Kluyveromyces lactis: one gene and its partner. The protein of the gene in region 2 purifies or fractionates together with the protein of the main gene of each other region. This does not show direct contact. Links are inferred from orthologs where the notes say so. Each region holds a gene or a part of one and is shown on either strand. Other genes may lie near its edges.

The links.
Region 1: the proteins of UTP22 (region 2) and UTP21 purify together in Saccharomyces cerevisiae (affinity purification with mass spectrometry; 5 studies listed by BioGRID). This does not show direct contact. The link is inferred for Kluyveromyces lactis from reciprocal best matches to the Saccharomyces cerevisiae genes UTP22 and UTP21.

The regions. Positions count from the first base shown.
Region 1 is NC_006038.1:252,900-257,247, reverse strand, and holds the start of UTP21 (rRNA-processing protein UTP21), read right to left. Parts: upstream 2,802-4,348; coding exon 1-2,801. Other genes in the region: inositol polyphosphate kinase VIP1, read left to right, coding at 3,344-4,348. UniProt on the Saccharomyces cerevisiae protein: Involved in nucleolar processing of pre-18S ribosomal RNA and ribosome assembly.
Region 2 is NC_006040.1:1,246,813-1,250,922, forward strand, and holds the start of UTP22 (rRNA-processing protein UTP22), read left to right. Parts: upstream 1-1,178; coding exon 1,179-4,110. Other genes in the region: KLLA0_D14762g (uncharacterized protein), read right to left, coding at 1-337. UniProt on the Saccharomyces cerevisiae protein: Involved in nucleolar processing of pre-18S ribosomal RNA and ribosome assembly.

The sequences.
Region 1 (4,348 bases), on a different chromosome or scaffold from region 2:
ACGCTGCCGCAGAATTTTACCAATTCATCCAATGATTGGCCCTTGCGGTGATTGGTATCCCAATGTTGCAGAGCAGTCTTGATATTTTGATTTGTGTTATTAGAATGAATTACATCACCATGCACTCTGAATAAGATGGTAATATATGCCTCATATAACTCAAAGTTCTTGTTGGTAGCCAAACCTTGAGCCAAACTTTCAATGAACCGACATAGCTCATCAAATGGTTGAAAAGCTTTCAAAGAACGAATCTCCAAATCAATATTTGAGGGAGTCATCTGGACTAATTCGTCAAGGAATGCTGAATAATCGTTTTTCTGCGAACCTTCTCTAAGTAGCTTAGTGAAATCAGATTCGAACTGAGCACCAAGTTTTCCTGAAGGTTTGAATTTATTCAGTTCACTAGCAGCATTAGCTTTGGCAGCATTTCGCTCCTGTTGTAGTTTAGAGGAATCCAAACTCAAATTCTCAGCGCCTTCCCTGGCTGAAGCCTCATCGCCCACCTTATCTTTTGCAAGTTGTAAGAAGAATGGAGCCTGCTCTGGTTTAACTGGAGCCTCCTTTGGTTTCGAACGTTGTTTAATTATATCGAGATTGAGTAAGATATTCATCTTGTTCCTTGGTCCCAAAGAAAGAGTCAATAAATCTTTATCAATTTGCTCCATCGAGTCATATTTACCAAAGAGATCTTCGGAATCATCTTCCTCTGTATCAAAAGCCCCTTCCAAAAAGTTGGAACCACCATCTCCGGAAACGTTTGGAAGCATAACAGTGGCAAATTCTTCTTCGTCGATCTGTCTGGTTGATACTGAAATGAACTGAGCTCTATTAGCCCAGAGGGAAATACCATTACCAGATACACTAGTGGTAGCCAATAAGTCACCATTTGGTGAGAATTTAATGTTAGTGATGACATTTTCCACTTTCATACCGTCTATACATCCACCTGTTGGTAAATCCCAGGTTCTAATTGTGGAATCTAATGACGAAGAAACGATCCAACGTCCATCAGGTGAGAAGTCAAATGATGAAATTCTATTGGAATGCCCCCAGAGTTGACGGACCACTTTTTGAGTAACCGAATCTACGACAACAATGGAAAGGTCATCTAATGCTAATGCGAAGAGGTCAGATGATCGATGGTATACCATTGATGTTATAGGTGAATCCAACTTTAACTTTCCCAAAAAAGTGCTTTTGGAAAAGTCATAAAATCCGACAATACCATCTAACCCACATGACACCATCTTTCTGTTCATACCATCCATTGCAATACCAGTAACTGCCTTCTTATGTAAACGATAAACCTTTCTCTTCTGTCCACTTTGTAAGTTGTGAACACTAATACCACCGTTTGAAGAGCCAACTAAACCAAAGTTACCACATTGTGATATAGCTACGCTCTTCGCAAACCCCTCATCATTAGTTGGGATTGTCCACCTACCAACTCTTTTTGTTCTCGAGTTCCATGTTCTTGCAAACTTTTCCCCTTTATGAACCGTCAAGATGTTTTCCCATTGGCCTTGTCTGTTATTTTCGATGACTATTGATGTAATCTCAGGGAACTTCTCACCAATGGTGCTTCCACCAATCCTATTTCCATCTTTATTCTTATGCAGACGCTGCGATAATTCCTGCGATTGTGCATCTTTTCTTAAGGAAAACCCCCATAAAGATCTATCTTTTGAAGCAGAAAGAATGAAATGAGATTGATCGTCAGCAAATGCAATAGAGGATGGAGGTTGAGAGTGACCACCTCTTGACCTTAATAATCTGGCTGGTTGAATGACCACTTCAGAGTCACCTTGCGATAAGGATGGATCGAAAACAAACTCTTTTAACTGGTTGTCACCACCACAAGTGACAACGATCGGCTGACCGTTCAAGAATGATGCTCTTGCAACACCACCATTCACTTCCTTGTGAATGCCTTTTAACACTTGAACACGTGAGCGATGATCTAAGTCATAAAAGATCAAATCACCACTGGTTGATGCTACTGAGATATGAGAAGCACCATCCGTTCTGAAAGAGATTGAAGAAATTCTCGTCGGCGTTTTAATGGTTCTGATTTTCTTACCCTTACGCAAATTGAATAAAATAACTTCACCAGATGATGTACCAAAGGCAACGATGTCTAAAGCAGGTGCAGGTTCAGCAGTGGTGATCTCATCGGGGAACTCATCGGAAGTGTACAATTGTTTTCCGGTCCGAACGTTAAACAAGGTGAAATTAGACTTAGTCACAACGAGCAACTTGTTAACATATGTTGGTAAATGCACCAAATCAACAATATCACCACCTTGTAACTTACCAATGGTGAAATTGGTGTATAATTCAGTAGCGAATTTATCAGATGGGGAATTTTTCTTATAGATATAAACAACATTATTATCTGTAGAAGCAATCAAATATTCACCGAAAACGTTAATTTTGGTCACCACGGTATTTGGATCAGGTAATTCAATCAAATGTTCTAGCTTACCTCTCTTATAGATCCCAACTTTATTCTTAAAACTTGCATAAACGTAATGAAAATGCGCTGCCAAACAAGTAATGTCTCCCTCTGTCTCCTTATCTGAAACGAATAGCAGATGCAAATTATTGGCATCAAAGATCTGAAACGACTTACCAACAGAAGTCACAATGTAGAAGGTCGTACCTAGGGTACCAATCGCATAAGGAACTCCAGTAGATACATTACCTACAATTCTATACGGAGAAAATATTCTGGAAGCATGTTTCCTAACAGCGCCGGAAGAACCAACTCTTCGTTTCTTTAACGATCCATCCACTGTCATGATTGCTAATGCACTGTTCTGTGACTTTATGCAATCGCTTAATTAACTGAACAACAAGCGAATCCAGTAATTAGCTGCTGACGATAGGTATCTATCTCATCTCATCTCATCTCATCGCTTCTTTAAAACGTCGAGCTTCGAAATTTTCATCGCTGAAACAGAAAAAGAAATCAGAATATCACGTGACACATAAGGGGGATCAACCTGCAAATGTGATTCTTAGACTTGGATAGAGAAGATACTATGTAACTTCACCATTAGATGCCATTAGATAGTAACCATACCACAGTCTGAAATCTCACTAGCGAAACACATGGAGGTGTTGCTTAGATACTGGTCTTTACTTCAGAATTACTCACAGTTTTCTATCAAGTTTTCACTATTATCCTTCACATATAAATTTATATACAAAATTAAACACATGGGGAATAATCGTACCATGCATCCGCTTATAACAGAAATCGATTAATTGCAACGATCTACAAAATAATTTTAACTGAAGTTTCAGCATTGGTTATAATCAAATTGCAGAACTGCCAGTCATGTCTTCTCCAGGTTCAATTTCTGATGAGGGTCAAGAGGCAATCAACGGAAATACCATGCCTCCACTGTTTTTAGATTCGAATACGAAAAAGGCTATGGAATCGATCGCTCCTATCCTTGAAGGGTTCACGCCGAAGACCTCTTCTAGTGAGAATAAGTCGTTGAAGTTGCCACCTGCTGGTTTTACCTCTGATGATGATGATGAGACAAATAAGCTCGTCAGAACGCTTAGTATTTCTTCTACTGGTTCGACAGGTCGTCATATGACTCCCAGTGTCCTAGGCACCTCATTCGATAGCATGAATGGTAACAAGCTTCAAAGACTGAAAAGTAACCAAAGTGGATCAGCATCAGTTTCTGCTATTCTGGAAGGATCGCCTAGTCCATCTCCTATGCTGGAAGAACCTCATGCATTCCCCTTCATTCCGCAAGCATTAGTCTCTAATGAAGCTGTCACAACCAACACTGACGGATCAACAACTCCAAGTTCGACAAATTCTTCGAGGAAAGCTTCAACTTCCTCGTCCAAGCCTCAGCTACCAAAGATTGGTAAAATTGGTGTTTGTGCCATGGATGCGAAAGTGTTATCCAAGCCATGCAGACATATCTTAAACAGACTAATTGAACACGGTGAGTTTGAGACTATAATTTTTGGCGATAAAGTTATATTGGATGAAAGCATTGAAAACTGGCCTACTTGCGACTTTCTAATATCATTCTTTTCCAATGGGTTCCCTCTAGAAAAGGCTATCAAATATGTCAAGTTAAGAAAACCATATATCATTAATGATTTGATTATGCAAAAAGTATTGTGGGATAGAAGGTTGTGTCTCAGGTTGCTGGCGGCAAGCAACGTACCTACCCCTCCTAGATTGGAAATTACAAGAGATGGTGGTCCCAAAATTGATGATGAACTGAAATCTATGCTTGCCGAACGTGGAGTTATTGTTTCAACTGTTCAAGAACCCAACTGGAGAATGGTGGACGATGACACCTTGGAAGTT
Region 2 (4,110 bases):
TGTCACACGAGTTGTTATTCTTCTTGGAATAACTAAACAACAGACTGCTTCGATATCTGTATTCCCTATCAAACACTTCGTAAGTACTTCCTCCAAATATCTCTCTCTCGGGATCTAAGTCTGAGTATGGGTTAACATTTTTATCCTCTTTTAAACTCTGTTTAGGAGCACTACCATCACTAACGATATCGAGTCTTTGTATATCTTCACAGATACCTCTTGTCGGATCATTACTTCCTTGCGGAGACTCAGTGACGCTGCCATGTAGGTGATCCTGGTTGTCGCAGTCACAGTCACGTGTAATTAATTCAAAACCTTCGGTATCAGATGAATCCATAGTGTTTACTAGCTATATATAGCTAGTGTGTTGATGCACCTGGCGATCTGTCATGACTGTGTTGATGGTCTTTCCCCAGATCTATGGCCTCTTTATATAATAACTCAGATTGGTTAATGATGTTTCATGTTGATACTTGACCGTCTATTGTTTCTAATCCGTCTCAACAGATAACCCGCCGAATGATCTAAAAAATCTGTAAAATTTGTAATAGATTTCGTGCCTCCTTAGCTTAGTGGTAGAGCGTTGCACTTGTAATGCAAAGGTCGCTAGTTCAATTCTGGCAGGTGGCATTCATCTTTTTCAATATCCAATCTGACCTTCCTCGAATCTATTTTTTTTTTCTTAAAGTAACATTGTGCACTAAAACTAGCAATACGGTACGTCTAAAACCATGTATTCCCTATATTACTACATATCGGGATAGTACCAGTTCCAGCACTTGAGTTGGACTTGGCTTTAGTCCAGTATGACTCTATGTATCTGACTATCTAACTGATTATTCAGAGAGACTGAGATTGGACACGTCGTATAAAGTGACAGACGCATCAAAATCCTTCACATCGAATTTTGGAAAAATTTGCCAGGCGATGAGCTTTAAAGGTTTAAAGAATTCGCATTTACATAGAATGAACGTACCCATAGGCAGGTTTATCACAGTGATTTTGTTTGGATTTCCCTCGTATTAGTTTGCTAGATATTAAAAGGGTAATTCTCTTCTGTTTTGGCTAGGGGAAATTGAAACCCTAGGACTCGGGCACTGGCTATCATTCTGTATTATAATCAATCCAGAGGCGCAAACGGTCAGGAACTAGTGAATTAAGTGGATATTTAGTGAACTATGGCCTCTGTGAAACGTGTAGCACCAGATGGTGAGAAGTCCAGGAATGGTAGTTTCACCAAGAAGGCGCTTGTAAAAGCTATTACTGGCTCACAGGCTGAAAATGACAGTGACAAGACTGGTTCTTCTTCTTCTGGAGAAGAAGAAGAAGAAAGAGAGGAAGAGGCTACTGCCTCTTCCAGCGGGGAAGAAGACGAGGAAGAGGAAAACACACATGACCATAAGGCTAAGAAGCCAAAGTTGAGCTCCCAGGATATACAAATAGCGAGAGAAACGGCTGAACTCTTCAAATCGAACATTTTCAAATTACAAATCGATGAGTTATTGGAACAAGTGAAGTTGAAGGACTCACACATCGTAAGGGTGGAGAAGTTTTTGCATAAACTATATGATATGATACAGGAAGTACCGGAATGGACTCCGCAAAGCTTAGAAGATGTAGAGAAATATTTCCATGGGAAAGTGGTATCAGTTCCGTTTGTGGATCCAAAACCACAAGCGAAGAACACACAGTACAAATTCAATTATTTAAAGCCGGACGTGAGTTTAATTGGATCATTCGGGTTGAAGACTGCCATCTACCAACCTCAGGGCTCCGCAGTAGACGTTTTGTTGACTATGCCTGAGCAGTTGTTCGAAAAGAAAGATTTCTTGAATTTTAGATGTTTCCACAAGCGTTCAGTATACCTCGCGTATTTGACTCATCATATCTCACTCGTCCTGAAAAGAAGCCAGCTGGATTTCTTACACTTGGAATATTCATACTTTAACAACGATCCTTTACAAACGGTATTAAAGATAAGTTGTAAGGAGAAAACTTCATCGGACTATAATTTCTACAAGACTAAATTCAGCATAAACTTGATCGTGGGGTTCCCATACAATTTCTTCGAATCAAAGAAGTTGCTACCCAATAAGAACTGTATCAGAGTCGGTCAGGATAACGAAACTCCGACACCTTTCTACAATTTCTCGGTATTATCATCTTCTTGTCACGAACACTATTTGAAGTACTTACACAAATCAAAGAAACAAACAGAACAGTTTAAACAGGCTTGTATTTTGGGGAAGCTATGGTTATCTCAGAGAGGCTTCTCATCAAATATGTCTCATTCAGATGCGTTGGGTGGTTTTGGAAATTTCGAGTTTGCCACGTTGATGGCAGCCCTACTAAATGGTGGTGGGTTGAATGGTAACAGAATTTTATTGCATGGGTTCTCATCTTACCAATTATTCAAAGGTGTAATCAAATATTTGGCCACAATGGATCTTTGTACTGATGGGTACTTACAATTCTATTCCGACTATAGCACTACTGCAACTGTCACTTCCTCAAAATACGTTGAAGAAGGTTTCCAAACACCTACAATCTTTGATAAAACCACCAAAGTTAACATACTGAGTAAAATGTCTGTTAACAGCTATCAAATGCTAAAGATCTACGCGCAAGAAAGTTTATTGATGTTGAATGACGTCGTCAGAGATCAGTTCGAAAACATGTTCTTAACTAACTTAAACAAGATCAAGACAGTGAAATATGATGCTTACTATGATTTAGATATCCCATCCATCAATTTACTACTGTCCAAGTTCGGTCCCGTTGAAAAGATTAGCTTTATATCATTCGAAAATTTCATCTGCAATAAAGTATCGAACATCGTGAAGATTGCCCTTGAGGATAGAATCAAAGCTTTTGAAGTGGCTCTAGTTAACAATAGATCTACTTTCCCAGTAACAAAGAGAAAAGTTGCTGCTGTTCCAAATTTCACTTCAATCCAAATTAAACTGTTGATCAACCCTGCAGAATGTGAGAAGCTTGTGACTAAGGGCCCAGAGAACACAGAAGAATTAACTAATGAAGCTAATGAATTCAAGATTTTTTGGGGTAAAAAAGCATCTCTTCGTAGATTCAAGGACGGTTCCATTGCAAACTGCTGTGTCTGGTCAACTTCTGCTATTGAAAGTGTTGTTTCTTCGATTTTGTCCTATGTTCTAAGGCTACATTTGACTGAAGACTGCAAACTCATCAATAATTCCACTAGCCAATTCCAACAGTTGTTACCACTACCGAACCTACCTGCATCTTCAAAGACATCAGTTCTAAACCTATCAAGCTACTATAACTTGAAGAAGTCCTTTGACGATTTGTATAAAATCATGTTCGAGCTAAAACTCCCATTATCAATTAAATCTCTTTTACCTATTGGTTCTGCATTCAGGTACACATCATTATGTCAGCCTGTCCCATACGCATATTCTAATCCTGATTTCTTACAAGACGTTGTTATCGAATTCGAAACGTCTACAAAATGGCCTGACGAAATTACTTCGTTGGAAAAGGCTAAAGCTGCATTTTTATTGAAGATTCAAGAATCCATCACGCAGACTCATAGTGAGTACAAGTGCTACTTTACACGTGATGAATCGATTCCATACAACTTGGAAATAGTTACTCTAAACATTTTGACTCCAGAAGGATACGGTTTCAAGTTTAGAGTTCTAACTGAGAGAGACGAAGTTATGTATTTGAGAGCAATTAACAACGCAAGAAAAGAACTAAGACCAGAGCTGGAAAAGACATTCTTGAAATTTACTGCCAAGTACCAAGCTGCTATTAGACATACTAGAACTTTGGAAAACATTTCCCATAGTTACCCATTCTACTCTCCAGTGGTAAGACTATTTAAGAAATGGCTAGATTCTCATCTCTTATATGGCCATTTGTCAGAAGAATTGATTGAGCTTATTGCCATTAAGCCATTTGTAGAGCCACGTCCATTCACCATGCCAGGTTCCGTTGAAAATGGTTTCTTGAAGATCTTATTATTCCTCGCAAACTGGAATTGGAGGGAGGATCCACTAATATTAGATCTTGTCAAACCAGACGAATTTGGTGACCAAGAAACCAGTATCGGAGCATCAGATCTAGATT